Linked DNA regions of Tamandua tetradactyla. The protein of the gene in region 1 interacts with the protein of each later gene in a pairwise test. Links are inferred from orthologs where the notes say so. Each region holds a gene or a part of one and is shown on either strand. Other genes may lie near its edges.

Region 1 (7,704 bases):
GCTTTTGCAAACTACAATGTGAAGTAAGTTACAACCACTTGCTGTGCAAGAAAAGCGCTAGCCATCACTGACCCTTGAATGGGGTCGCTTACAAAATAAGTCTGCCCTCAAAACTGACCTTTCTCCAATGTACAATATCCGAATACTGATTTCTTTTCTCTCTAAATCCCCCAAGTTTTATTGTGTAGTATTTATATAAGTGAACCTCAGTCATACTAGGAAATAACTTGAATAATTTATCTATCAACAGGAAGGCAGAGCTTCCTTGGATAAAATTTCTGAGGTGGGACACAGAAGTGATACTTCAGCTTAAGGAAAAACTAAACATTTATAGTAGAAAAAGAACTGCGAAGCTAGTGAGTAAGGTCTAAACCAGCATTCTGTTTTTCTTAAACTGGACTTAAGTTTGAGTTGTCTTTTCAGTGCTAACCAAGGACTTACACTGATAGCTTGTACAGTCCTTGACCATAAAGATCAGACACTCTGAACACATAAAAAATGTCTAACAATGTCACAAAACTCCTTTTCTCTCCATTTTCAGATTTATTTAATCTAATTAAATTTTTTAGGCTTGAAAAAGGCTTTTGGGGCATTACAAAATTCAATAACTTTATTGAATCTCTCAACTTTGATGGATACTTATCCTCAAGGAATCCTCTTCAACTGTTTCCCTGCCAATCTAACATCCATGAGACAAGAATTTAACTATGTTGTGCAGCTACAGTATTCCCAAGGAATTAAAATGCACTGCTTTATTCTATTATTTGTAGTGAAAAATGAAAATTTCAAAATCTGGTTTTCAAGTACAGCATAACGCATTAAGAGGGATTATTAAGAAACAGTGATTGATCTCATTTTACATGAGCCAAGCTCATCAAGGCAACAAGATTAAATTAACAAAGCCTGTTATGTGACTACAGAGACAATTATGGGCAAAACCAGAACTTCAGTTGAGACCTAAATACATATATATATTCCTGTACAGAAGTATAGTTAATTTAAGATTTTAAATGAAAATATTTAATAAAAGTTTCTTTCCCACTGCAAAAGTTTTAATCAGTTTCTAACAGAGTACTGCTACACAGAAATCAAAGAACTGTACTGACTAGTACGGAAAGCATTTGAATATTTTTTATAGCCTGTGTTTCTTATAATAAATCCCAGGAACTGAATGACAAGGATTTCACCTGCAAATGGCAGTGTCATTAACAGCACTTCAGGGTTTCTTATACATATTCTGTGGGTTGTTCTTTTAAGAAAGCTAGAAAGTACTGCAAAAGAAAAAAAAAGGCACTGATTTAAGAAAAGGAAGAGTTTTTTAGGAGTTTCATTTTAATGATTTACTTCAAAAGTTCTGCAAATTCTAACACCAGAGGTGCCCAACTGTTCATACTCTCCTCTATCACACATTTAAATTCCAACAATATTTTAGGACAGCATAAAGGCAAAAAGCAGTTAAAACTCAGACAAATCTACACGATTTAGTGCCTAAATCAAGAATGAGAATTACTTGAACTCTTCCAAAGTCTGGGAAAGATGTTTGTATTAGGAGATATGCTCTGGAATACCCACGTAGTTCTATGTGGCCTCCCTCTTTAAAATCTGAAGCTCACCGCTTTCCATATCAATAAGAATCAATTGCCAGGCACCTCACAAGTCTTAGGTCCGCCAACACGAAAGCTTTAACTTAACCTTTTCTTAACCATGGGACACTTCCATTTTCCTTTACACATTGGGTCATCTATAGGATGAGAGTTGAAATGTAGAGAGTTCTGGCTCCTGGCTTTGAAACCTGTCACTACCTGTGTGACCTTGGACAAATGACTTCACCTCTCTGTGTCTTAAGTTTCGTATGTACAACGGGAAAAATAATAGCACCTACCCCATAAGGTTATGAGAATGAAATTAAATCTGTAAAGGGATGCCAGACACATAGTGAAGTCCTTAGAAGTGTTGGCTATTATTATTGTTAGAATCTGAAGAACGCAAAGCGCTGGACCCAGACCCTGGTACACTGGAAAGATAATGACACAGTCATCGCTGATTTCAAGTTCACAAGCACGCTCATGAAAAAGGGCGCGGAGCCCTATCGAAGATAAGGAAGGATAACTTAAAAGGTTATCTGGGGGTTAGGGAGAGATGAATTCTTACGTCCCCTTCAGATAATGAGCGTTCACTACCAAGTATGAAGAAATGGAACCCCGACCCCAGTCCACACACACAAAAAAGAAAGCAAGATATGAATAAAGCCCCCAAACCCGATGAAACCAACTCCCCTAATAAATTGCTTTTTGAGAAAAAGTACCAGAAACTCGATCCTGGCCAGAATAAAGCACGGTACACGCCGTCCTGCAGGTTGAACCGAGCCCCCCCAATCTCCTCTCCCAAGACCCGTCGTCCAGTTTGCCGGGGGGAGAGGGGGGGATGGGGGAGGAGAGAGTATGGGTGGGAAACGTGGGGGTAGGCGGCGGAATTTTCAAATTTTACAGGCAGGAGGAAGGCTGCAGCCTCGTGTAACGAATGAGCCGGGCCGGGAGAGGCCGCGGGCTGGGTCAGGTTCGGGACCCGGCCCGGCCTCCCTCCGGCCGGCGGCAGCCCCTGGCCCCGCGGGCCAACTTGCGGGCTCGCTCCCCTCACCGCCGCAAGCCCAACCGGCTTCCCAACTCCCCTCCCGCGAGCCCCGGGGCCGCCTGCCGCCCCTGGGCCCAGCTCCCCTCAGCCCGCCCGCCGCCCCCCTCACCTTCCAGCAGCCGTTGGATGATGCTGTCGATGTTGAGTTTATCTATATCCGCCATCGCCTTCCCGCCGCCGACCCTCCCGCAGCGGCGCCACCGCCGGCTCGCGCTCGGGACCCACACCTCCTTTCCCACGCCACGAGCACACAGACGGTGGTGGCGGCGGTGGCAGCAGCCGCGGCGGGTCCCCCCCCAGCCGCCCCGCTCCCTGCTTCCTCCTTCTCTCCCCGCTGGAACCACGAGAAGAACAAAATGGCCGATGACTGCTTAGCCAGCCTCGGGCGGCGCACGGATGCGAGCGGGGGAGTGCAGCGGCCCGGCCGGGACTTCTTTACGGGCCATAGGGCGCGCCGAAGGGGGCGGAGTCCGGACGCTGGAAAGGGGGCGGAGCCAGAGCGCGGGTAGGGGCAGGAGACGGTTGAGCGTAACTTGCGAGCGCACGGGATCCTTCCGCCAAGCGGGCCGAGCAAATAGGCCCTTCTGGCCGGAGCGGGAGTTGTAAAGTTGCACGCGGGAATTGGGGCTGGAGGGGACGGTCCAGATATGCGCCCTAGCGACTTCGGCCTTCGTCGGATCAAGTTCTTTGAGGCCAGATGTTTTCAGACCTGGCATGTGGAAGACCGACTAGGCATTTCAAGGGCTCCTGGAATTTGCCCTTTAAAATAAATCTGGTTTGGGAGTGGAAAGGGAGATTATTAAAGAGAAGTAGGTAGACTTCTTTTGCATTCAAATTTTCTGGGATTGAGAGGAGAAAGGAGAGGTTTGTCTGGTTGCTTTAAAAACCCTTTCCCAGATAAGTCAAAATATTGTTGTTTATTCTAAGGTATGGAAATGTGCGTATCTGTATATTTTGTGTGTCACTTCTGTGAGTTTTTACATTAAAAAAGAAAAAAGCTTAAAAAGTCATCCTGGGACGGTGGCTCACAGGGTGGTGGCTCAGTGGCAGAGTTCTCGCCTGCCATGCTGGAGACCAGGGTTCGATTCCCGGTACCTGGCCGTGCAATTCAGAAAAAAAAAAAGTCATCCTCCAAAGAAAATATCCATCCTCTCTATCTTTAGATAATCTTTTTGAAACTCGGGAAGTTATAGTATCATCGGAACGGTAACCCTCAATCTAATCAGAGCCAAGTTTGCAGAAGATAAAGGGAGAATGTGTAGATTTCTGAGTTTTTGGCCGGAAGAACGAGTTGGCAGAGGCTGGTAGTGCGGGGGGAGGTCTCGAATTCTGCGGACACCCCGGGAAACTTTGGTCCATTTCCTCGGGCTTCCCAGCCTCCCCAGCGGGCATCCCTCTTCAGGGCGGGGCAGAAAGTGTGCGGCTTCCGAGGGTTGCGCATCGCCTTTAGCTGGGTTTGGAGGTGCTCTCTTTTCTGATCTTTCCCAGTAATCCGTTCTTCTCCTGCTGCGCCCTACAGTAAGTTTGCAAGGCCCTTTGCTCCCACAGAGAAATTCAGTTTGTTTCTCGAGGCATGCAGGGTGCCCGAATCCCCATCCCTAAATACTAGCAAGGTGATTACGCTGCGGGCATTCATCTTCGGAAGCAGCGCCCTCCAAGGGGCCCAGGCAGGCCCCCTGCGTCCTGGCTTGCGCCCCTGTCGCCGCTGGAGTGGAGGAGCTGGTGTCCAGCCGGCTCTGCACAACCGCTAACTCCACTCTCCCGAGTCGCCAGCTCACTCCCCCGTGCTGAGGCTCTGGCCACCAAAAGCCACACAAGTGTCATTTGTAAGCCCAGGGCACCGAGCCCAGTCGGTGACATTCTGACGGGTGCCCAGCACTGCTGTGATGGCTCACACAGGAGTCCACGAGACCTTGAGCTCCGCGGTGGGCAGGGCATGTCATTGCCAAGGCAATTACAGCAGGAATATGAAAGACTGCGATTCATTCAGCAAACAGATATTTACAGAACATGTACTCTGGCCAAGCATAGTTCTAGGCCGGGAAGCAAAACAGACAAGCTCCTTCTCTCGTGGACAGTCAGCTAGTAAGCCAGCCAGACAGTAAATCAACAAAGACTCAAATAAAAATATCAGCTTCTGATAAGTGCGGCAGAAAAAAAACAAACACTGCACTCACTTTCTTCATTTGTGCCAAAACATTATCTCATTGAATCCCCAAGACAATCCTACGTGTTGTGTACTATCCCTACCCATCCCCATTTTACAGCTGAACTGAGGCACAGAGAGACTAGGTCACTTGCTGAAGGTCACACAGCTAGTAAGTCAGAGGCTGGAACCTCAGGAGAGCCTGAGAGCAAAAGCGTTCATATTCAATAAATCCCCATTGTGAATTCCCAGCCCCTGACACAATCCTGGCGCACACCAAACACTTCATAAACGCAGAACCCAATGGAGCAACCCACGCATGTATCTTCCCACAGTAAGAGTGCCGTAATTTTCCAGCTGCAAAATGGAAGGTGTGTTAACCTCCACTGACATCATCAGTTCTGGAGGAGGACTTGGGTCTGGGCTGGGACATAGGCTGTGCCTCTGTCCACATGCCACTGTAAGTTTGGGCAACTCCCCTCCAGAGTCCAGTTTCGCTGGCACATGCCTAAAGGAATTAGCCGACTCAGAGCCTGAGAGCGAGCTCACACGGCTAAGTGTGAACAGATCCTGGGAATCGGCAAACCGCTCACAGAGGAAAGAACCGATTCCTTATTGGCCTGTTTCTGCAATAATCAATGCTGGTGGTCTCCCTAAGGACGAGGCAGACACATTCATTTCACCTGAAAGGGTGTTGCCATTTACTGAAGGGTGCCTTCCTCCTCTAGGCCTCAGTTTGCCAATCTGTAAAATGAGGAGAGTGGGTTAAATGTTACTTCTTTTTGTACTGCCTTCCTTGGATCTACAGAACTTTCTTAGAGAGCTACTGAGGAGGGTGGGAGCTAACGGGTTCTGTTTCCAACCCCTTGAGTCCAGCAAAGTAGAGGCATAACCCACAGTAAGTATGCAATCAATATTAATTATCCTTACTTTTATCTAATACATTGAGCTTCCATTGAGATTTGGAAAGAGGGGCTATGTCTAAAATATTTGAAAACCAGTAGTATCTCTCAGGACCCTTTAGAGTTTGAGGGGGATCCGAAGCCTACGGGGACCAGGCCGACAGCGCGAAAGAATTACGTTGGCTGAGTAGTGACTTTTATGAATTGCAGAGCCCACTCCCCAGCTAGGGGGTGTCCATTTCCCAGCTCCAGTCCATGGGGAACATAATGAGCCCAGTATGGCCAGATTCTCTGATTTTTTTTTTTCCAAAGGATCTTGGATATATGGATTTTTATGTGAAATGTTTCAATTTGTAAAAGATGGTTGTGAATTCAAATCCTTCCAAAATATGGCACAAGGCAGACAAGCATGTGTGGGGGCTGCAGTGAATGGAAGCTTTCTGGTAAAGCCTGCAGCTTTATTTCAATGTCCTGTGAAATTACCAGAAGTCACTTATTCTTTTGGAAAATGTTTATTGAGGCTTTACAAGGCTCCAGGCCTTCTGCGAGAAGCTGGGGACACAGTAGTAAGCAAACCAGACAGTCCTTGCCTCGTTGAACTTCCAATCTGGTGGAAAAGATGGAAAGGAACAGATAACTCAATCAAAGAAGATAATTTCTGAGAGTGGTAAATTGCTATGAGGAAATTAGAAGGGCTCATGTGACCACATAGGGAGAGGGACTCTGAGGGGGTGACATTTGAATAAGACCTGAAGGATGAGAAGGAGGAAGTCATGGGGAGACCTGCAACGGGGAAGAGCATCCCCAGCAGAGGGAACCGCGAATGCAAAGGTCCTGGGGCAGGAATAAGTTTCCCGTGTTGGAGGAATGGAAAGAAGACCAGAGCAGCTGGAGTGTAGAGTGAGGAAGAGAGTATTAGGAGGTGAGGTCGGAGAGGTGGCCAGCTGGTTCATGGCTTTATAGGCCACGGAAAGTCATTCAAATTTTATTCTAAGCCTAATGGGAAGTCACTGCAGGATTTTGGGTCAAGGAGTAACATGATCTGATTTTATATTTTTAAAGACGCTTTATATTTTGGAATAATTTTTTATTTACAGAAACATCACAAAGATGATACAGAGAGGTCCCTAATACCCTTGACTCAGTTTCTCCTAGTGTTTCATCTTATATAACCATAACATTACTCTTTTTTTCCATGATACCGAAATCATAAAGAAAGGTTAGATCATGACATATCAGGTAGCATCAGAACTCTGAAAGCATCTTCACCTAAATAAGATCTGATTTCATTTTCTAAAGATCTCTTCAGTTGCTGAGGGGAGAATGGACTGTAGGTGGGCAGGAGTGGGAGCCCTGAGACCAGGGAGAAGGCCGCTGACAGGTGCGGCTTTATCACTCTGAGCCTCAGTTTCCTCATCTGCAAAGTGAGAATGACATCACCCATCTCAGAAGGTCATTGTGAGAATTTACCTTCCCACGTGCTTGGGGACTTGGTAAAAATAATGGTGACAATGCTGACGGCGATAGTTGACATTTACTGAGTGCTTGCTATGTGACAGTTTCTGTGCTCACGGCTTTTCCTGCAGAATCTTGACGCTCATCCTCACCCCATTTTAGGAGTTAGGCTGGGAAAGAGGAGATTATTTGTAACCCCAGCTAGGGAAGGACAGGGCTCGGATTTATCTGACTTCACACCTCCTTTCATCAAACTGAGGAGTCGCGTTTTTAGGGATGAGGGAAATTGAATTCTTTGGGCCAGGAGTTCAGATGTTCCCAGAATCCTTCTCGGAGGAGGGACATTTAGATGGGTTCTTTCGAAATCTCTTGAACCATCTTCGGTCCTCATGAGTCTTCGTTGGCGTTGGGCGAGTCTCTCTTTGTGAAGGCCCCAAACACCCTTCCAGCTCTACTTACCCAACGGACAAATTAGGATGATTTGCTAATTTGACCAATACCGCCTTGCTAAATGTTCCTGAGCTTCACAAAATGACTCACTCCGCAGTCAGGAAAGCAGCAAGCTGTCCC
Region 2 (6,977 bases), on another chromosome or scaffold:
ACCAAAACGGTGCACGCTCATGTATGCACACAGAAACCAGGCTGCAAGCAAGCTGGGCTATGATGTTGCTTTGAAAATTCAGTTTTAATGTTAAAGAATCAAAATAGTGCCTGCATATTTATTCTCAACCCAAACTACGGGGCTGTATTCCAGGGCCACCAGCTATAAGGTTTGCCTCATCGATGAGGACCAGTAGTTGGGGCTATCTCAGCGTGCCTCCCCCCCCCACGCGCACATGCACGCGCGCACACGCACAGAGCCTGCCCTCCGCCCTCCCACTCAGTTGTCAGTAAGTGGCCCTGCGGCCTCAGAGGCCGTCGATTTGGAGCTTCTCTCACACCACGGGTCCTGGGAAGCAAAGTGGTAAAAACTCTGGGGCGAGATCCAGTTCCCTAGCCCCACTCCTGACTGGTCTTCTGGCGACTTTTGGCTGTGTTCATTCAGCAGCTGGACGGGTGGTTACATGGACAGTCCCTGGGGTGGAGTGAAAGAGGAGAGGGGGATGCTGCAAAGGCCCAGACACTTGGGCTCCTGACTGGGTAGCAAACGAGGGACACGCAGCTAAGGAGCAAAAGGCAGCTCACTCCACCCCAGGCTTTTGGGGGGTTGGGTTGGGGTCAGATTCCTTCCCCTGGCACGTGGGTACCCCCTCCAGTTCTCCCCCCACCCCCTCAGACTTTCAACCACTCTCTCGATAGCTATTCCCCCAAAAGTCTCCATTTCTTAACCACCAACCATCCCAGAAAGAGAAAATGAACGGCCGCTGGGAGTGCCACCTCTCAGGGCAGGGCTCGGCTAATCCCCCAGCTAGCCAGGAAGGAGAGAAGGAAAATCCTGTGGGCTGCAGGGGATGGTTCCACAGGGACAGAACACAAAGTGCTTTGTTTGCTCTAGGTAATTGCTCAGCTCTTGCTCTCAAAGGGCTGCATTTCCCCGGAGGTTAACCCTATGCAGACAACCAGGAAGCAGAGAGCAGAGGTCCCGAGACCCCTCTGTGGCAGGCAGGCGCCTTTCCCACCTGGCACAGATCCCAGGCCACCCAGCCAATGGCAGTCACTTTGGGCCCATCTCCTCCCTCCCTAGAATAGACGTAAGCAGGTAAAATTTGGGGGTGCCCCTTTCACTACACCTGCCCCCCCCCACACTACTCCTGGGGATCCAGGTAACTTCGTTGCCCCTCAGTGGACATTTCCGCTTTCAGCATCAACAGTGGAGGAGATTAAAGAAACCCAACACTTCAGGATGATATGCTAAGTGAAAGGGCAGCCCTTACTCCCTTCCCAAATCCCCACCCTGTAAAACTCAAAGGATCCGTGCCTTTGTGCTAAGCGCACCCCCATCCCAGATTTCGTCCACATCTCTGAGTCTAAACTCTTCTTCCGTAGAATTTAGGGGCGCATCCGCTCCTATAAATGTCAGGTGACCATGTTGTGTTTTAACTTTCCCAGGATGTTTTTTTGTTCTTTTGTTGCTTTGTTGTTGTTGTTTGTCTTATTTTTAACTCCAACTAAAGAACTGCCCTTTAAATGGGAAAGGGGTAGGGGGTTCTGAGAGGGCCGTTAGGTGGTTCCCTGAGGTGGTTAGAAAAGCCCCTGATATACAGAGCCTCTGTCCTACTCCCCCAGGGAAAGACGATCAACGAAGTCATTACATTTTTTTTTTTTATCTTTCTAATCACCTGAGGATTGTGCAAATGAGGGAAGCAGGGGTTATGCAAGAATGAAAAGAGGGGAGGTTTTCCATCCCCCAACCATTCTGGAGCCCCAAATCGAGAGCTGTTACCTGAAAGGGATGGAGAAACAGAAATCCACACGGTTCCTAAACTTTTTTTTTCCAGCCAGTTCTACAGCAGTCCTGACGTTACTTGGCTGAATGACTAGCTGAGGTTACTCAAGAAAGATGTTTGTGTGTGCGTGTGTGTTTTTAATCCTCATCGAACCTATGAAAATAAACAAAGCTGCGCCTAGCATTTTCTCTGCCTTTCTGAGTTTTCTATATGTGGGGGTTTGATTTCTTTTCCAATTCTGCCATCGCTTCTCGTGTTTGTTAAAACTTCCACGGGGGGCCTCGAGTCCTTCCCGGAGGAGAGAAGAGCTCTCCTTTCCCTCAAAGCGCACGGCTTTGTTTCGGGCACCGGGAAAGCCAGACCGGATCCCTGGCGGAGCTGCCGCGGGGATGGGACCCGGTCTCCGAGCCCGGTGCGGCCCGGGCGCAGCCGCCGCCGCCCGCAGGTGACCCCACCGTGCACCCGGGTCGCGAGCGGCGCTAAATGCCACCTGGGCGAGACGAGACGCTTTTAAAAAGCACTCCGTCCAGCTAGAGTGTGACCTCCAGGGAGCACCTCCGACCTCCAGGGAGCACCTCCGAACTCCCCGGAGGGGCAGCGGGGTGGGGGTGGGAGTGAGAGGTGGCAGGGGCTTCGCCGGCCCCGGGTGGGACGCCCCCGCGCGTGGGAGGCGGCGGCCTTACCTTGCGGCTTGGAGGCTTCGGTGGCATTGGGCGGGGTCATGGCGATACAGACGTCCCCCTCGGGGAACTTGTCACACTTGAGCATCTCGGGCCAGTAGAAGCCGAAGAACTGCATGACGGGCTCGCACGAGTCGCGCACGGCCTCGCAGAGCCAGCGGCACGGGTAGATGGGCCGGTCGAGGCAGACGGGCGCGAAGAGCGAGCAGAGGAAAACCTGGGTGCCGATGTGGCAGTTCTTGTTGAGCAGGGGCACCCAGCTGCTGGCCTGCTGCTTCACCTCGGCCATGGTCTCGTGCTCCAGCAGGTTGGGCAGCACCATCTTCTTGTAGCCCACGTTGTGGCACAGCCGCAGGTCCACCGGGATGTCCACGCACTGCGGCGGCTTGGTGTAGAAGCGCCCGCTCTGGTACGAGCCGATGTCCGACTGGAAGCTCACGTAGTCGTACTCGCTGGCCGAGCCCGCGGCCAGGAGCCCGGCGGCAAGCGCCAGCAGCACGCCCGAGGCGGCCCAGCGGCGGCCCCCCGCGCCGCGCCCGCTGCCCATGGCTGGCTCCGCGCGCTCGCACCCGCGACGTCGGGGCTACCTTCGCCGCCTCCCCGCGCGCGTCCCGCTGCAAACTTCTCGGGCTCCTTCTAGGAATGTCCGGGGACAAAAGGCGCCGTCGCCAGCCCCGAGCCGGGCTCCGCGACCGCACGCTGCTGTCCCGGTGCTCGGCAGGTCGAGGACCCCGGCCTGCAGGAGGAGCCGCGGCGTGAGCTCGCGCGGAGAGGGCTGCGCAGGGCGGAGCGGCGGAGCCGACCGAGTCCCGTGCGGGCTCCCGGACGCGCGGCCGGCGGGCGGGCAGGCGGGCGGGTGGGCGCGCGCGCAGCACCTACTCCCGAGGCCGCAGGACTCGAGTGCCCGGTGCTCGTGTTGCAAAGTCCTCGGAGTCTCCCCGCGCAGCCAATCAGCTCCCGGCTGCTGCGAGCCGCACTCATTTACCACGTCAGTCACCGACTCAATTAACCAATCGCTTCACTGGCTAGAGGGCCCGGTTTACTAGAACCAAACACAGGTCAACACCCCTTAAGAGACAACACCAAGAAGAGGAAAGAAAAGAAAAAGAAAAAGGAAGAAGGGAAAAGGGAAAAGGAAAGAAAGGAGGTATAGATACAAGGGTGGGGTAGATAAAGAGAATGTTTAATGTTCTGATTAATTCGAGGTGGCTTGCAGAAAAGCAGGGAACCTCAATATTGCTTGCAAACCCAGGAGATACTTGAGACTTTTTTTCTTTTAACCCTTTTGCCTCCCGAATTTCAAGCAGCAGCCCACCAGGCTAGCGGCTCACCAACTCGGATTTGTTTTCTGTAGCTGCAGTACAAAGACAGGCCGTTTCAAGACTAACGAGTTCAGAGAGGCTGAAGGGAGGGAGGTCTGCTTTTAAATCACTAGCAGCGCAGGCTCGCCTCCTTCAAAGGCGAGGGGAAGGTTTCCTCGGACCTGTTTGCTCTTTTCAAAATGTAACATCTTTCCAGGTAAGACATCAGGAAACTGACCTTCAAGCAACACCTGAGGCCCTGCGTGAATGTTGCTCAGTGTGGTGGGAAATATTTCTCAGGAAGAGACAGTCAGAACCCCTATACCCAAACCCCAGCCCAACAGCACGTCTGTGTGTGCAGGCGTATACACACTGACATAGTTGTGGTGTAGAAAGCCAAAACATTAAAAACACATGTGCACTTATCGGCGTAGCTTGTGTAAATATCAAGTCCGTCACTCAGGCACACATGCTGCATTTAGACTGGGTCCAGGAACTCAAGTGTCAAAGCCAAGGGTCCTCGTTAAGGCACAAGGCAAGAGGAAGGTACTAGAGACAAAGCACAGCTATCTCATCTAACCAACTACACCCCCCCCCACCCCTACACACACACACACACCCAGTAGCAGGAGTCTCCCTTCCACCCTCCACCTAGGGAATTCCTAGGAATTCTCTGTGTGTTCCAAGCCTTCTCCTGAGAGGGAGGGTCAAGCCTCAGAGAGCTGGGGTATGGCTATGACTCAGTTCCAGAGGGGGGAGAGAAAATAAGCAGTTTATGAAGTTTGCTGGATTCTCACACTGCTTGTGTCCTGCAGTGAGGGCCGAGGGAGGCAGAGATGCTGAAAATCATTTCTGAGCCTTTTGGCAAATGGACCTCAGACCTTAGAACTCAAGGCGGACACCATAGGAGGCGCTGCCTTGCCAGGCCAGCTTGTTTGTAAAGCTCCAAGGAAGCTTGCTTTGGGCTCTGCAAACCAAATTTCTCGATGGAGAGATTCCAAGTAAAACTACTGGAGCTTGTGAAAAAGCGGGGCTATTTTCTTAAAGCTGTGGTACCCAGAAAGAGATTGTCATTCCGCTGCACACACAGCCAGCATCTGCAGATAGTCAACTTCTCTGCCGTTTTTTGGCCGATGAAAGATGCCCCAAAGCAAGTGGGGACAGAATGGGGAGAAAGAGATAGACAGCGAAACAGCAAGACTTTGGGTGGCAAAGGGTTAATCCCAAAACAATTGGTAATGCTCTGTCCGAGAAATTCCTCACGGAGAATAGACTGCAGGAGACCCAGCAACTGTGTCTCAAGTCAAGGGACATTTAGAGAAAAAATGCTGTTTGGTAGGGAGTCATTTTCTCTCTTACAGCCAGGCCCTCAGTCCCAAGCCAGATGTGTCTGTTTACTCACTCACTGGAAAGAGTCGTGTTTCTAGATAACATTCTCTCTTTTCCAAATCCAGGTTTAGCTGACCCCTCATTCATATGTGTACAGTTTCCCAAATGTACAAGAAATAGAAGACTTGGGTCTGTTCACCCTTAAAATTCTGGAGCATAATTCAGAATCCCATCATGGAAGGGTTCTACCTTATCTCTGGTTATTCGTGATTGGATCACTCCAATCTCCAACTTCTCACCCCACCCCCCAAATGGTCTTCCTGTTTTAGAGATACGCCTCCTGGGACATGATAGAGATTCAGTTGTCACCTGGACAAAAGGGGAGTGGCTGCACAAATCAGACCTCAGAATTCTAAAACGGGTAAATTTCTGGCTCCTCCTAAGGCCCAACTGGACCGGAAAGGAAGGAGTCTGGTCCCAGCCCCCTTTGTCCACGTGCTGCCACTCTACTGAGTCCCTGGCTCCCACCAAGAGACTTTTACACACACCTGAAATTTTTAATGACCACCTGCTGCCATGCAGTACACATACTGTATAACAGAGCCCTGCGGAACTTTCCTGAAGCCTCCATACAGTATTTTTGTGGTTTTTACTATTGTCAGACCTTTACATTTCAAAGTCCAGCCTCTCTTTTCCTAATGGCAAGAGTGTATGTGTAGAGGGAAAAATTCTAGAACAACAGTTCTTTAAATAGGTTCTTGGCATGACAGTTCCCAGAAATCGGGGTTCCTGAGAATGAGAACTGTCGGCCAGGAGGCACACCTTCCCTTCTTCTTGAATGGTTTAAAAGAACAGGGAAAATATCTCTCTCTTGGCCAACAGGGCGAGCAAACTCACCGCCCTCCCCTTCTCTACCTGGGACATGACTCCCTGGGGTGTGGACCTCCCTAGTAATGTGGGACAGAAATCCTAGAATGAGCTGGGACTCAGCATCAAGGGGTTTTGAAAACCTTCTCTATCGAAAGGGGGAAGAGAGAAATTAGACAAAATAAAATGTCAGTGGCTGAGAGATTTCAGAGTCGAGAGGTTATCCTGGAGGTTGTTCTTATGCATTGTATAGATATCCCCTTTTTAGATTAAGGAGTATTAGGCTAGAGGGAAGTGCCTGGAGCTGTGGAGCTGTGTTCCAGCAGCCCCGTTTCTTGGAGATGGTTGTATAATGATATGGATTTCACAGTGTGACTGTGTGATTGTGAAAACCTTGTGTCTGATGCTCCCTTTATCTAAGGTATGGACAGATGAGTAAAATATATGGATTAAAAATAAATAAATAATGGGGGAACAAATGTTAAAATTAAAATATATACGTATTGGATAGATGGAAATACTAGTGGTCAATGAGAGGGAGGGGTAAGGAGTATGGGATGTATGAGTTTTTTCTTTTTTCTTTTTATTTGTTTTTCTGGAGCGATGCAAATGTTCTAGAAAATGATCATGGTGATGAGTATACAATATGTGATGATATTGTGAACAATTGATTGTACACCATGTATGGAATGTTTGTATGTTAAGAATGTATGTGCTTGTACATTGTTGCGTCAATTAAAAAAAAGAGAAGAAATACTGGTGGTCAATGAGAGGGAGGGGTAAGGGGTATATTAGTATGTTTTTTTCTTTTTTTTAATTTCTTTTTCTGGAGTGATGCAAATGTTCTAAAAATGATCGTGGTGCTAAATACACAACTATGTGATATTGTGGGCCACATTGTACATCATGTATGGACTGTATATGTGTGAAGATTTGTCAATGAAAATATTTTTTAAAAAATAAAGAAAATGAATTTTAGAAATAAAAATAAAAGAACAGGGACAAAATACAACT
Region 3 (7,456 bases), on another chromosome or scaffold:
CCCATACCCGCTTTGCATGTGTGTCCCCTCCATGCCACATGGGCGGCTGACAGATATCGTGAACAAGGGAGGGAGGGTTGAGTTTTTGGAAGGAAAATGAGTTTGTTCTGAATGCCCATCACAGGCCTGTTCTCCAGAGTGGGGAAGGGATCCGTGAAAGCCCAGCCCCTCTCTACACACACGCACACACACACACACACACATACACACTGTCACTTGTAATAGCAGGGAGTCATGGGACTCTACTGTCAGTAGTAAAGCTTTATAGCTTGCTCACCAGCACGACTTCACAGAATGCAGCTTTGATATTCTAAACATGCAATGACCCAGGCCATAGCTTTCCATGTTCACTTTGGCACACTGACTCCAGGGGTGACAGTGCAAATAATTATTTTGGACTCACAAGGACCACATTCTTCTCTCGAGATGTGCTCTTACAAAGCATCCCATAGCAAGGTTCACAGTCAGTTCAGATAAAGTCCACAGGGTGTGCTTGCAGGGTTGGACAGATGGATTTGTATTATTAAAACACCAAAAATATTACCGGACAATCTCCGGTACAGCTCTACCATGTCCATTCATTTTTTATTGTAGCCCCTAGCATGTATTTCATGCGTGGCTTATTCATTTTGTCAAGTAAGATCCATCTGCAGGGCTCTTGTACACATCCATTGTATTTCATGGCCCGGATTTGCTATCAATCAGTACACCCACATACACGCTTCCCTCCTTCACGATTTTTGAGTGTCAAGTATCTTGATAGCTTCAAACAGTTTATGAATGAGCATTGTCATAATGGCACTTTATGATTGGGAGTGGGAAGACAGATTTGGGTAAAATTAAAATAAAACCTGAAATTGGAAATTTCTCAGAGATCTCAAAGGCAACAAGCAGCTGGATTTGTTTTTCTCTCTTTTTCCTACCCTCCATACATTTCCCATGCACGAGTTTGGCCTCAGAACAAGAGAAGGGAAAGACAAAAACATAATCAGGGAGGCCTTCCTTGTCCTGCCGCCTTCAGTACAAGAAACAGGAACCACCTAGGGAGGCTTCAATAAATGCTCACTTCTAAGGAGAATTCTCAGACTGATTAGACAGGCTTAGGATTCTACCTACACTTCAGAAAAGTGATCGCTGATCCCAGAAACTTAGTAGGGAACCAACCGCAAACATTCTTGGAAGTGCAACTCCAAGAAGATCCTTCCCAACTCTGGGTAAACACAAATCCAACCTCCACATGGACACGATACTAACAAATAAGATCTCTCTTACCCCATCCATGTGGATCCTGATATTGGGCACCAGCCGGAAAGTGCCGGACTGCAGTCCTCGGGGGCTGGCCCTGCTTTTCGGGCTGTCCTGCAGGCTCCACACGCCAGGCCTGCGTAAGTGGCCCCCTCTGCCCAAGCTCTGCCCTGAGCGCACACCGTCCAGAAGACGCACGAGCAGCAGGTTGGCTGGCAGCGCCTCGATGCTGCAGAAGACCAGGGTCCTGCATTCTGGGCACCTCAGCTCTTTGCGGGCCTTGAAAATCCTCTGTAGACATGGTTTGCAGAAGGTGTGCTGGCAAGGGAGGACTTTGGCTGTGACATCGAGCTTTTCGAAACACACAGGGCACTCCAAAAGATCAAGTAACGTCACATCATCCATTTTATTTTAACACTCCAGTCCTGACCTGAAGGGGCAGCATCCACATTGTAGGGGCAGCCGAGCTGAGGGGGCAGTGCCGGTCTCTCCAGAGCCTCAGATTTCCTGCCTGTTTGAAGGGGAAAAGAAGGGAGGATAGAACTGTGACTGCTCTGAGATGTATATCCCACCTACATTGAGGCAATGTCTCATAAGGCAGTTTGCAAGTACTTTGTTCCGGCACCCAAGTTTCAAATGACTCATTCTGATTCAGTGCTAGCAGGTACAGGACTCCTGCCTGCTGCAAGGAACAGGAGCCAGCAGCATTCAGCAGAGACTGCGCACAGGCTCTCTGTGTGGAAAGGCAGAGAGCAAAAATGGCCTGCTGAAGTGGCACACCCCCTCTTCTCTGCCAGTCTGGGCTGGGAGGGGGTCCTTTAAAATCTGGGTAAAGCACTCAGACACTCTCAATTCTCAAATCAGAGCCCCTCCAGAATGTAATTTCTGTGAAGAGATCTACTCCTTCTCTCTCCAGGTTAATCTATTATCTGCGCCACATGCAGGTAAGTTTAGTTGATGTGGGTAAGTTTATCTGAATCACATCAGATGTAGAATTATTCCCTTCACAATACATCTTCCCCCATTATTTTTCATCTAACAATGTACAAGAGAAATCTCTACTAGCAACCCATTTTCAAAATTGTTTTGCCTCGACCTGGGAGCTTTCCTCTCTCTCTCTCTCCCTTTCTTTGCCTGCTCACCAAGATTGTCTTAAACAGCCTTAGAGACAAGATTCCTCCCGGCAATGTAAGGTGGCACAGCCTGTTGAGTTACTCTGACAAGTGTTTTCAATTTCAACTGAAGCAGGTAGGGATTCAGGACTGTGCCCGCAACCTGCAAAAACCCAGGATGGAACAGAACATACAGGTGCGGCAGGTATGCCTGCGCGCGCGCGCGTGTGTAAAGAACCCCTGTTTCAGGAACAGTTTCCCTGTGGACGCCTGAGAAGAAGTCTCCAGCTTAGGAAAGTCTCCTCGGAAAGAGTCAGCAGTCCTTCACACGTGCCCAGGTATGGGTGAACGCTGCAGCCAGGAAGGCCCCACCAGTAAGCACGGCGGACGGTACACATGAGAGATGGCGCCTCGCTTTCCTCGGCCACCTCTCCAAGGATGCCAGGCGCGGGCGGGCTGGGGACCAGCGGGCTGGGGACCAGCGCGCTGCCACTAACCTTGCGCGAGTGACCTCGGCGGAGTTCAGCTCGGCTCGCTTGTCCGCTCCGCCGCGCTCCCGGCGACTCGCTTCCTCACCCCCCAGTGCCGCCGCGGCCGCCTGGAAAACTTGAACAACTCGGAGTCTTACTCAACTCGAGGGATCGCCTTACGCAGCACTATTACCGCGCTCACCGCCCGGCTGCCGCGCCGGCAGGACTCTCCTCCCCCCACCCCCGCCCCGCCCCCCCAGGAGGGCTTCGCTTTCTGCTACGGAACCTTCCTTTACGGAACTGGGTGGATTTCTGGGAAGCGGTTATGAGATAGTACGTAAGCCAGCCCCCCAGGCCAAGTATTTCCAAAGTTTTATGTTTTTACCTTTGCGCCTTATCTTTCCAAGGCGAGTTAAAACGTGTTCAGTTATGCCAACGTGATTGTGCGGTTTTAAAAAAAACACAAAAAACTTTACAAGGATTTCTCTGAAATGGGCAGAAATATTAATGGTACCTCTGATAAACTCTTTCAATATACTCCGTCTCTTCAAAGAATAATAATTTTAAAAATGTCCCAGTAGTACATACATATCCTTGAAAAATAAAGTGTACAGAAGAGTTTTTTTTTACGGAAAAGCAATGCGCTCCAGCTCTCTGCTGTTCCCCCCACTGTAGTCTTTTTATGTCCCTAAATAATACTTATATTTCTTGGCTCATCGCTAATACATTTCATGGAAAGTTACAAAGATATCCAAGTAGAATAAATAGATAATAATAATAATAATAATACCACCTAACATTAGGCTATCCTTTTCCTGGGCCCGGAACCGTTCTAAGTGCTTTACCTTTATTACCCCATTTAATCCTCCAAAAATTCCTATGATACACTATACCCTTCTTTACTTTCACTTTGAAGTTAGATAACTTATGTCAGGAGTCACAGCCAGTAAAAGACTGGTATTCTGTGCTCTTTACTAAGTTAAGTGGTGATATAGCTTTAAAAGGGAGGATAGGTGAGCTAAACCTCATCTGGGGTAGCAGGAAGGCAAAAGTTAGCTGATTAATCAACTTTTGCAGACGGGGCAGCTCTGCCCAGAGAGATCAAGAGATTCCTTAAAGTTGCTCAGTGACTTCGAGGCAGAACTGAGTTCCTCTGATTTGTACTTGGGTGTTCTTTATACTATATCTTCTCTCTTATCATAAAAATGTCAATTCTTTATAATGCAGAAGGCATGTGAATACAACTCTATGGGAGAATCCTAAGAAGGGAGCAAGAGACCTGAAAACAGGTTGTGGTGGCTCAGGTGGTTATCAAAGTCTTTCCATGTCCAGTTTCGAAAATGTAATCAAGCATGAAGCTCAAAATAAGGAAGAACAGAATTTTAGGATGGAGTAGATGAAATCATCTGTCTTCTCAGCTCTGACAGCCTAATCTTGATATGTGTCTATTTCAGAGGCTGCTTTCAGCTCCCTTTTTATTCATCTCACTTTCTAGAAGATTTTTGAGCTCTAACAGAATCACATCCCCTTCTGTCTGCCTGCCTCCTTCAGTGAATTTCCCCTCGTCATTCAGTGCCCATTAGGAAGTCTCTTGTAGTTTGCAAACCTTTTGCTGCCCCTTATCCTGTTTCCTATTTAGCAAAGCTGATCTGGTCTCCCCGTGAGCTCTCCTGCCGACCCTCACCCCTCTTTGGAAAGGTCCACTCCAATGTTGGAGCTCCCTGCTGCTGCTGCTGAAGGTAACACTTACTCCTTCCCTGTCTCATTCCTATGCACACTATGTATACCCACCTCTGCTCTAACACACACACACACACACACATCTATAAGTGCAACACAAACACACACATACTTTTAATAATAACACTTGCTGTATGCTGCAGACCTAGTTAAGACTTTAAACAGATTGTCTCATTGAATCTTCTCAGCTGCCCTACAAGTAAGCAGTTCGGTATGGTAACTTTCCCAGGGTTACAAAGCTTGTGATGCGTCCCCAGCCTTGTTTAACACCAGGGCCTGAGCTCCTTGCTGTTATTGCTTCCCATGGCATAAAGTCAAGTACATGTTGTAAGTTCACTCATATATCTTTGCTGTACAAATCCACACGCACTAATCCATATATTCATATCACACACGCCAGCTGATCCCACGGCCAACCTCAAACAAAATGTTGAAGTCTGATGTGCTTTGGCTCCTTTGGCTCTCCCTCCTTGCAGCTTACCCAGACTCATGGCCCCTCCATGCCCCTGTGTGGCTGCTGGTGTCAAAAAGCTTCAAACTCTCCCAGCCTTGAGAAAAAGGGATCAAACCAGCTGGGCCCCAGGAAGGCGGGACAGATTCAGTGTATTACTCTGCCCAAGCAAATCTGACATTTAAAAAATCAGCCAAACAGAATTACTGATGGTAGAAATTTCGGCACTAGTAGCAGGACAGAGAAAATTTACGGTGAGCGGAAGAGGGTTCTTTTAGGACCTTTCGAATCACACCCTCTAGGTGGTCCCCAACACCACCCACACATGAGGTTAGTTTTGGTGGAAACTGGAAGAAAAATTTTCCTTTGAAGCCTTTGATGAAGGAGGAGAGTTTTAAATGGGGATTTCACCCCAGCTTACCCAAACACTATCTTGGCGTCAACTCAGATGAACATCTAGTCTTTAAAAAACAAACAAAAAGGTCAACTATGCATGCTTTGCCAGACTCTGGGCTCAGGCTATCAGCTCCACTGCTCCCATTCCATCAACCCTACTGTTTATGGTTGTGTTGTTACATGCTTCTTACCGGTTTTCCTCTTTTTAAATACTTGCATGATATTTATGAGCTTCTGCTATTTGTATTTACAAGTACATCTTCTAAAGTTAGATTTAAAAAAATGAAATCTTACCGTGTGGTTCCCCAGTTCAAAACCTTCAGTAGGTTCCTATTGGCCTTAGAATAAAATCCAAATCCTTTTCCTGGTCTATCGGTGTCTGCATGGTCTGGCTCCAGCCCATCTCTCCTGCCTGACCTGTCCCCATATTTCCTCCTCACCACACATTGACTCTCTCTCTTTGCACTTAGGGCAGTTTATGTTTTTCTGACATAGGGTATTTGTGTATGCTCTACTCTCTGTCTACAACACCCTCCTAGTTACTGTTTTCCTCCTCCTCTTTGCATTTTCAACCACTAATCATAATGCATGTTTAGCTTAGATGTCACTTCCTCGGAGAGGGTTTCTTTGGTTCTCATGATTGAAAGTTTATCCCCCTACACTTCTCCTTTATATTGGTTATCACAAGTGTAATTTAGTAAATTATTTTTATAATGATTTATTTAATGCCTGCCTTATCCAAGGAGCTTAATTGTCTTGACATTGCCCTATTCTTGGAACCTAACACAGTGACTGGCATATGGTTGATGTGCAATATTTGTTGAATGGGTTTATAAATGAATAAAAGAATTGTGTTCTTAAAAACTTGTTTATATCTGGAGAGATGCACATCAAACTTGAAGTTAGAAATGGTTTTATATTGCACACCTCTTGGATCACACTTTGAATCTTCTTGGTCCCACCTCTTACTAAGCTACTGCCAAGAAGGCTTTCCCAAATTCAGAGGAGGCCACCTGGTAGTGTCTCCCCTGGGGGCCCTACTGTGAGCTCTTGTCTACTGCCCCAGAGCTTCTCTGGTGTTGCTATGTGGAATACCCGTGGGAACTTGCTCTGCACCCACGTGTGCACAATCCTAGAGAGGGCCATCCTTGACTAGTGGGGGCAGGACTCTATGAACGTATGCTTCCTCCTTTCATTCTCGCACTCAGGAAATTTTGAAACGACGTGAGGTTCTGCAGGCTGAGCGCCATTTGCTTATTGAATGAATAATGCAATGATGCATCCTTGTATTGGCTCTCCCTCATTCCCTTTTCACTACTCTTTCCCTCACTCCAGATCACAAGGAAACTACCACAAGCAAGATTTGCCTAAGGTTAAGAGAGTTTCTTTCAAATTTAAAACTAAGTAACAAAATGTGCAGACAAATTATCTCAATCAAGTTTACTTACTTATTGGAATTACAATTTTAGCAATGTGCTATTTTCATTTGACTCTGGCTCTTAACCCTTTGGTGGTCTCAAGGTCTCTGCCATGAAGTAATTATTTGTAAACAATCCTGGAATCCATCAAAGGAGTCAGGTAGCTGGAAATCCAAAGTTTTAGAGCTGAGGGAGTCACGAGGTAACCTTGTGAGGCTTCACTATTGCTGGTAGCCTTGTTGGAGAGACCATGTTTTGTACTTCTTTGCACTCTCCCTTCAGTATCTACTGTAATATTGGCTATATGTTTAAATATTTGAATGCAAATGTTATCTATTTCCATGGTGCTGAACTTGCCCATGTAATTTGGCTTTTTAATAATACTGGGTAATCTTTGGAACTATTCAAGGAGAGAAATGATTGGAGGAAAGTGGACACTTACCATTAGTGAAAAAAGTGAAGGAAACAAGAATGGCAGGAATTGAATTCTTATTAGAATTAAAATTAGCCAGCTATTAGACATGTTGGCTTTCTGGAAAGGTGCAGGACTAGAATGACTCTCAGATTTCCTCTCCATTCTGGAGGATGTTTGCCGGTAAAGAGCATACTTCATGACATTCCTAT
Region 4 (8,013 bases), on another chromosome or scaffold:
AAAACAACCATCATAGCTTTGGGTTCTAATGGACATAAGTAAAGACTACTAGTATATAAATAAAATATTAAGTGTCTGCAAATGACTTAACAGATTAAAACCATTTTAAAACTCTATGGCTATTATAGGACCTTCCCAATCTCTGGAAAAATTAAACCATGCACACATAAACAAGGTTTAGTTTTTCTATTCCCTGAAAGAGTGAAAAGTTGAAGACTGTAAGGAAACTACTGAGCGCTGCCAAGCCAAATGGAAAAAGCATTTTCCTGCTAACAGCTACACACCAGCATCTTCGTTTTGGGTAACAAACCTCTTTGTGAGAATGAAAAAAAGGGGGGCGGGGACCACTTGCACAATTTTTAATCTTATGAATTCAGAAATCTTTAAAAATATGCATTACTATGCCTCAAAAAGTCATGCTACTATATTTAGCCATATCAAAACAAAATAGTGTCAAGAGAGTAAAAGAAAGAAAAGAAACAAACCTTTTTTCTTTTGATATGCACATATCTTTCTCCAGAAAGAACTCCACACTGTGCCAAGTCTGGACATTCACTTTCTTGGCTCCCTAACAACTGTACCTTACAGGAAAGTAAAGCTTTACACTCAGAAACAGCCACAATAGATTCAAGCGATCTCTCCAAGTCGCGATGGCCTTTCCAATTTTTCCCTGATGTTTGAAAAGGAGCCTTAAAATTTAAAAGGTTGTAGGGGTCACCGGAATTAGAGAAAGAATTCCACAGTTTGAGATTTTCTATTTCATCTGCACTAGACATGCAGTCATCTTCCTCTTCAGAATTATGGTAAAAAGACTCAGAAAGTCTTCCAGTCTGGGGAGAATTCTCTAGATCAGACTTGTCAGACAAATTCTTCTCTGAATCAGAAGGGTCTCCAGGAACAAGTCTGGCAGCAGTCTGAATTGGTGCTGTAAAGTTTTGGGGATTATAAGGATCTACACTGCAAAAAGAGTTCCAAAGGTGAAGCCCTTCAGAGTCTTCTTCAAGGTCTGATTCTGAAAGTGGGCTTTCACTATCAAAACCATCATCCTCAGCTTCTTCATCCCAATGGTCATCTTCAGAATCAGAATTTGTTTCCAGGTCGCTGGGTGGACCTCCCAAAATGTAATCTATCAATTTGTTACTACAAGCTGGTCTGGCAGAAACGGGAAGGTCTTCTTCTATGTCTGAGTACTCAACTACCCTAATGTGGTCCTGTTCAGACTCTGGTGCCACAGACACCTCACAAGATGGACAGCTTTCCAAAGGGTCCTGTTTTTTCCAAGTAAGTGGAAGCTCTTTGGGCAACAATTGTATTTCTTCTTCCTGAGCGGTTCCAGGAATGGCTCCTGTAGAGGGAACAAGCTGTGTTGGGTTATCTCTACAATGTTTCAGATCAAGCTGCAGAAGGTTGTGTTCCTCCTCCAGACTGTGGTAGCCATGATCTTGGTCGGGCGTGGGTAATACTTGCCCCTTGTTAGCCTGCTGAAGGAATTCCAGCCTTTTCATGCGAAGATGGTGGATTTCTGGCAACCCTTCTCTAGAAAGAGGTGGACATCCCTGCCAGGAGGCTCTAGTGATCTCTGTACTCAGTGGCTGGGGATGACAAAGGTCATCGGCCAGACTGTTACTATTTAGGGTTAGTGTCTGGATATCAACTAGCTCGCTACTTCCAACACTATTCTCACAGCTGAGCTCTACCGGGGGAAGGCAATCCAGATAGGAAGGTTTTAGCAAACAGGAGACTACGTTGAAATTGCTTAAGTGCTGAATGTCTAGAGACCCCGAAGGCGAAGAGCCAGGTTCCTGGTCAGAGAACAGACCAGCTTGAAAGCTACTCGGCAACAACTCCACTCCCCACAGCTGTTGCTTTACGTGAAAAGCGTGTGCTTCAGGGTCCAAAACACTTCCCTCGGCTTTAAGTTCCAATTCTAGAGCTGGGGACGAGCACTGCCAGCGTATCCCCTCCTCCAGCCAATCAAGGGGGCTGGGATTCGAGTCGTCCGAAGGGCCAAGCCGCAAGCAACTCACAGATTTCTGCGCTGTGGAGGTGCCTGGCTCCTCTCGTCCCCTCAGGGCTCTCAGGACGCTGTAACTTCCAGCAAAATCTAGCCATCTGGTAGGAATCATTCCACCGAAAAGCTGGCTCCACATCAGCAGCTTCTGAAACAAGGTGGGGAGCGGGGCAAATAGCTGAGAAAGCAGCTTCATCCAGTAGCTGGTCCGAACCTGGGGCTGGGGAGAGGAAACCAGGTGAGGGTTCCCGGAGTTTTCTGGGGCGGCAGGTGTCGGGAACTTGGAAGAAGAGCCTGGTCGTGATCGCCGAGGAAAAAGGAAGGACCGCCAGAACCCCGAGCCCACCTGAGCGGCAGACCGTTTTCGCGAGCACTCTGCGCTCGGCTCCATCTCCTTTTTCTTGGCAATCTCTCGGGTACTCGGAGTTCAGGAACTGGAGATCGGACGAGATTCGAAAGCGGCCTAAACAGCCTCGGCCTTGACGAGAGGCGGAATCGGTGCTTCGGGCCGATCCCTAAGCCAGCACAGGAGCCACAGAGGAAAACGGGTTCGGCAGCAGGCGGCAGACGACAGTCCGAAAGGCGAAGCGCTGGGCGCGGCAGCGGAGGCGAAATCCATCCTGGCAGAGGAGGTGTTCTAGTCCGTCTGAGGTCTCACCACCATAGATCGGAGGCCTCCCGCGGCGGCGGCGACTTTCCACAAGAGACTGACGGTTAAAAAGCCCTTTAGCAGCGCGACCACGTAAGGGCTGGGTAAGCAGGCAGACGCGGGTGTAGGCAAAGCCCAAAATGGCCGCAGGGTCGGCGCCGAGGCAGGACACCGCCAGGAAACTCGACAAGACGAAGGATGGCCGGCGTCTACGCCACTAACCCCGCGTCCCCGAACGTCACTTGCCGACACCGGTAGGCGGGTCTTTTCGCACACTTCCGTGTTGCCGCTGATTGGGCACACCCTATCTCCCTGTCTGCTTCCTTACTCTCGGTAGACCCGGCTCGCACGCGGGAGGTTGCATCAGCCGTGCAGAGTTTTACGCATGCGCAATTGTTACCCTGAGGTCTCCTAGGAGATCGCCCCAGTCGCCCTTTGTGCTAAAGGGGAGGGAGGTGGGGAGCGCTTCAAGATAGCTGGAAAATTCCCTGGAGCCATTTTAATGGCCTAATGCACTTTTAATGGCCTTATGCTAGACGTGCATATATCGGGGTTCCAATATTGTTAATGCTGAGTAGATCATCAATCTGAGATCTTAGTATATCTTATAATTTAAGAGTTGCGCATTAAAAGACTCAATCTGAGGTAGGACTGAAAAAAATCTTAAGTGAAAAATGAACCATTCCTATACATTCCTACCCCCTCGGCTTTAAGGTTTCCGAACCACTAATGTCTGGATCTAGTTTTGGGATCCTCCAGCATGCAACTCACATACATCCCCATCCAGGTTTTGAACTTGCATTTCTCGGGTGATGCCTCCCTATGAGGTTACTTTCTTTCACTGTGGGGCGAACTGAAGCCACAGAGAAGGGAAGAAACTTAGTCCTTAGAACTGTTTACTCTCATTTATGCTTCCCAGAATGCCACATTTTCAATTCATATTTATTTCCTGAGCTCCCAGAATTATAGGGTACTACACTCAAAGAAGGAAGCACTATCCTTTGGAAGAAGTTTGGCTGGTGATTTAAGTTGCTATATTTTATTCTTTCTTGTGAATTTGGTCTTAGTTCATTTCCTTATTTCCCCCAAAACTTTTAAATCAATACCCCTGAAGTCAAGTATTGCAGAGGGAGGGTAGCAGTAGTGAACACTAGTTATAGCAGAAAGATCTTTAGGAAACCAGGAGGAGGCCAGCTACTCCTCCTACTTTATTAGGTCTGTTCTAGGAACAGTGGCCTTTTTTTAGAAAACTAAGAGGTCCCATTTCTATTTTTTAATCAGCTTATCATGATATCTATAACTACTCTCAATTCTGTCACTGACTGACATCATATCCCCCTAAAATATTTTTTTAACCTTCTTGAATGGGCCTATGAAGTCATTGGCTCCATAAATTTTATTCTTCCTTACTTTTGGATGTTGTTCTAGAGGGAAAAAATACAATCATAAAGTATTTGAAATCTATAAAATATATGACTTTGCCTTGTAAGTCTTGACAGGAAAATAAACTGTGAAACAGCCTCTTAAAGCCTGCTACCAACTAGAGGGAAGAGGGAGGACGACTCTACACAGAGATAATGTGTTGCCATGGCAGTGTGCAAGCTGAGGAAGACAAGATATCCTTGAACTGGCAAGCTGACAGGTACTTTGGCAGAAGATTATGAAAACCTCAGTTAATTATGCTTGTTTTAAAAGATTTTGCTGGTCCTGAGGTAAAGAGTGTAGAGCTTTTGACTTTTGACTGTATTTTTCAGAGTCAGCATCACCAATACATGCACACACCGTCAAGATCTGATTTCCATGGAACCCACACTGGCTACCACCTCCTATTTTCCAACCCACTGCTACCTCACTGAGACCTCCAAACTATTGTGACCTTACCACTTATTCATCATTTATCACACTCTTCATTTTCCTCGTTACCCTACATGAATTCCATGATCCAGTACCCCTATCCAGACCCTTAATTCTCTTGCCCTTCTACACCTGCATTTTTCTCTGGCAAAATTCCAATCGTAGTTAAACCCAGCTGTTTACTTACTCTGAGCCTACACCCTTGCTGCAAAACCTTACTGGAGAAAATCGCTCAAGCTTGCTGACTCACTTCATATTTGGGTTCACAAATTTCACCAATTCCAGGCACTCCTGTGACAGTTCCCTGATAGCTTTGCTTCTCCTACACTCTTTTATAATAGTTCTTTCCTCAAATTTCTAGCATGCTCCATAAACATTCTCAATTTATGACCACACCTCACACTTCACTGAGAAAATAGATTTGTTTGGGCATAAACAACCTCATCTTTCTGACTCCATATCCATCAATCTACATTCTCTGCCTTCAATCCCAGTAGAAGATGCCACCCAGACCCTATTTTTCATGTCTACTCAAGGAATTCTGAGCTCCATTATCCTTTCTTCACCGTAAGTTTCTGTCACTAATAGATCATTCACCTTAACATAATTTAGCATCTCCTATTTTAAAAAATATTTTTAAAAAAGACACCCTAGATACATGACCCTCCCAATTTCTGCATTACCTCAGCGAAATCTCTCAAGAGTTGTGTATACTCATAGTCCCCACTTTCTCATCACCTGTTCTTGCTTCAACCTATACCATTGTAGCTTTCACCCTCACCACTCCTTCAAATATCTGTTATTAAGGTAACCAAGAGTATTTTGCTAAACCCAATTCCCTCACTATCTTTTCTGAAGCCCCCACAACACCATTCTGGCTTTCCTACAATCTCAGTAGCTGCTGCTCCTCTAAATTTTGGCATGTGGCAGAGCTCAGTCCACTCACATCTTTTCTCCTCCCTCTTTAACCCAGGTGATTTCATTTGGTTCCATGGCATTAAATGCCACCTAAATACTGATGATTTCCACATTTAGATTTCCAGATTCACCTCTCCCTTGGGCTACAGATTCCATACTTCTACTTCTCCACTTAGACGTCTGCCAGACATCTCAAACTTATGATTAAAACTACTCTTGATTCTGCTCCACCAAACCCATCTTCTCCATCTCAGTGCTGCCACCACAGTACTCCACCCAGTTACCAAGGTTCCAAACTCAGAAGAGATCCTCAAATCTTCACTTTCTGTCACTCTCCTTCTAATCCATACACAAATCCTGTTTGTTCTCTCCTCAAAATTTATCCAAAATGTGATTACTTTTCCCCATCCCCAAGTGTGCTGGTTTGAAGCTTTTATGTACCCCAGGAAAGGCCATGTTCTTTCAACCCATTCTCGTGGGGGCAGACTTATTGTAGGTGGGACCTTTTGATTAGGTTGTTTCTATTGAAATGTGATCCAGCCCATTCCAGATGGGCCTTAATCCTTTGCTGGAGTGTTTTATGAGGATAAACAGAGAGAGCTTAAAGGGAGAAACACCAGAGACATTTGGAGCTCAGAAACAAAGGAGGACCAGCAGACACCAGCCATGTGCCTTCTCATGTGACAGAGGAACCCCAGATGCCAGCCAGCATCCTTTCCTCAGAGAAGGTATCTGCCTCTTGATGCCTTAATTTGGACATTTTCATGGCCTTAGAACTAAATTTGTAAGCTAATGAAACCCCATTGTAAAAGCAAAGCCATTTCTGGTTTATTGCATTCCAGCAGCTTCAGGAAACCAAAACACCAAGCCACCATCATTTCTACTCTAGACTACTACAAAGTCTTCTCTTCTACCTGCTTACATTCTTGCTTTGCACAGCAGCCTGAATGATCTTGTAAAATGTAAATTGGAACACTGCAGTCCCTTTGTCAAAACTCTCTAATGGGGTTTCCATTCTACTAAAAATAAAATTCTGATTTCTGATTGACTTTAACACTCAGTTCAAATATCTCCTCTGTGGCAACCTCTCTGCCTCAACCCACCCCTCTCCTTTTCCACCATCCTACCTTGTCCTTACCATAACACACTAATTATCTGCTTTCATGTCTGCCTCTCTAGCTAGACTGTGAGTTCCTTGAGGACAGGACTCACACTTTTATTATCTTAATAACCATCATACCTGGCACCTCACCTGACCCAGAGTAAGCCATCATGTTTGTTGAGCCAGACAACCCTAAGGAGGTGAGAATTACCTCCCAACTTGTGGTGCCTCATTTTTAACCTTTCAAGTCCAAACTAAATTTTGCCCCCCAAATCCCAGCAAGTCGGGTTGTTTCTCGGCCACTTCTCCAACTCAAAGAAACCTCACCTCCTGGGCTTCTTTTGTTTCTCTTCTCCCTGGACAACCTCACTTCCCATCCCCCAGCTCTCTCATTCCCACTCCCTCAGGGTAGTTCAGATTTCTACCCCATTTGGCCAAGAAACTTCCTTAACTAAGATTCTTGTCAGATTCAAGTTCTAACTTTTAAAAGGTCCACAGGGACACCTCAAAACCACTTAGAAATACAGCAGGTAACATTTCCTGCTGTTTACTACTAAAAATCCCCCGAAAGCCCCACTAAATTGCCCAGCATGAAATGTGACTCCCCACTGGAGAATTTTGAAAATTTCCAGGTAGAATGTCCCCAGAAAGATTACATTGCCTCCATCCTCCATTTGGGGGATTCAATTTCTATTTGTGACCCCAGCACTGTATTTGGTAGAGGGCCAAGTACAACTCCAGAGCACATCAGTCACACTGTACTCTTTGTGAATGGAGGCATATGCCACTGGGTAGCACTGATAAGCACAATAAATGTCTGTTGAAAGAATTAATGAATGAGCCATACCTACTTCCAGTAGTTGTAAAGAAAAATATCATGCATATTAAAGCACTTTAAAAACTATCAAGTATTAGTGATTTGAACAATGAATAAAAAAGTATTTGCAAAATTGGGTAGATGGAAATACTAGTGGTCAATGAGAGGGAGGGATGAGGGGTATGGTATGTATGAGTTTTTTCTTTTTTCTTTCTTTTTCTGGAGTGACACAAATGTTAAAAAAAAAAAAATGATCGTGGCAATGAGTACACAATTATGTGATGATATTGGGAGTCATTGATTTTTAACCATGTCAAGAATGTTCGTATGTCAAGAATGATTGTATGTCAAGAATGATTGTATGAGCTGAGACTCAGCATCAAGGGATTGAGAAAAACCCTAGAATGAGCTGAGACTTAGCAACAAGGGATTGAGAAAACCTTCTCTACCAAAAACAGGAAAAGTGAAATGAGACAAAGTGTCAATGGCTGAGAGATTCCAAACAGAGTCGAGAGGTTATCCTGAGGTTATTCTTACTCATTGAGTAGATGTCAACTTGTTATTCAAGTGTAATGGAGAGGCTGGAGGGAACTGCCTGAAAATGTAGAGCTGTGTTCCAGTAGCCATGTTTCTTGAAGACAATTGTATGATACAGCTTTCGC

What was found.
Region 2: the proteins of PPP1CC (region 1) and SFRP1 interact in a two-hybrid assay, tested with the Homo sapiens proteins (2 studies listed by BioGRID). The link is inferred for Tamandua tetradactyla from reciprocal best matches to the Homo sapiens genes PPP1CC and SFRP1.
Region 3: the proteins of PPP1CC (region 1) and SH3RF2 interact in a two-hybrid assay, tested with the Homo sapiens proteins (2 studies listed by BioGRID and IntAct). The link is inferred for Tamandua tetradactyla from reciprocal best matches to the Homo sapiens genes PPP1CC and SH3RF2.
Region 4: the proteins of PPP1CC (region 1) and PPP1R15B interact in binary tests that used the Homo sapiens proteins (3 or more experiments, as listed by UniProt). The link is inferred for Tamandua tetradactyla from reciprocal best matches to the Homo sapiens genes PPP1CC and PPP1R15B.

What each region holds. Positions count from the first base shown.
Region 1 is NC_135331.1:11,472,292-11,479,995, forward strand, and holds the start of PPP1CC (serine/threonine-protein phosphatase PP1-gamma catalytic subunit), read right to left. Parts: upstream 3,011-7,704; 5' UTR 2,796-3,010; coding exon 2,741-2,795; intron 1,222-2,740; exon of another isoform or gene 1,207-1,221; coding exon of another isoform or gene 1,188-1,206; intron 1-1,187. UniProt on the Homo sapiens protein: Protein phosphatase that associates with over 200 regulatory proteins to form highly specific holoenzymes which dephosphorylate hundreds of biological targets.
Region 2 is NC_135329.1:16,791,843-16,798,819, forward strand, and holds the start of SFRP1 (secreted frizzled-related protein 1), read right to left. Parts: upstream 3,014-6,977; coding exon 2,470-3,013; intron 1-2,469. UniProt on the Homo sapiens protein: Soluble frizzled-related proteins (sFRPS) function as modulators of Wnt signaling through direct interaction with Wnts. They have a role in regulating cell growth and differentiation in specific cell types. SFRP1 decreases intracellular beta-catenin levels.
Region 3 is NC_135346.1:26,405,040-26,412,495, reverse strand, and holds the start of SH3RF2 (E3 ubiquitin-protein ligase SH3RF2), read right to left. Parts: upstream 3,014-7,456; 5' UTR 2,855-3,013; intron 1,796-2,854; exon of another isoform or gene 1,757-1,795; 5' UTR 1,651-1,756; coding exon 1,273-1,650; intron 1-1,272. UniProt on the Homo sapiens protein: Has E3 ubiquitin-protein ligase activity. Acts as an anti-apoptotic regulator of the JNK pathway by ubiquitinating and promoting the degradation of SH3RF1, a scaffold protein that is required for pro-apoptotic JNK activation.
Region 4 is NC_135330.1:61,877,256-61,885,268, forward strand, and holds the start of PPP1R15B (protein phosphatase 1 regulatory subunit 15B), read right to left. Parts: upstream 3,014-8,013; 5' UTR 2,403-3,013; coding exon 486-2,402; intron 1-485. UniProt on the Homo sapiens protein: Maintains low levels of EIF2S1 phosphorylation in unstressed cells by promoting its dephosphorylation by PP1.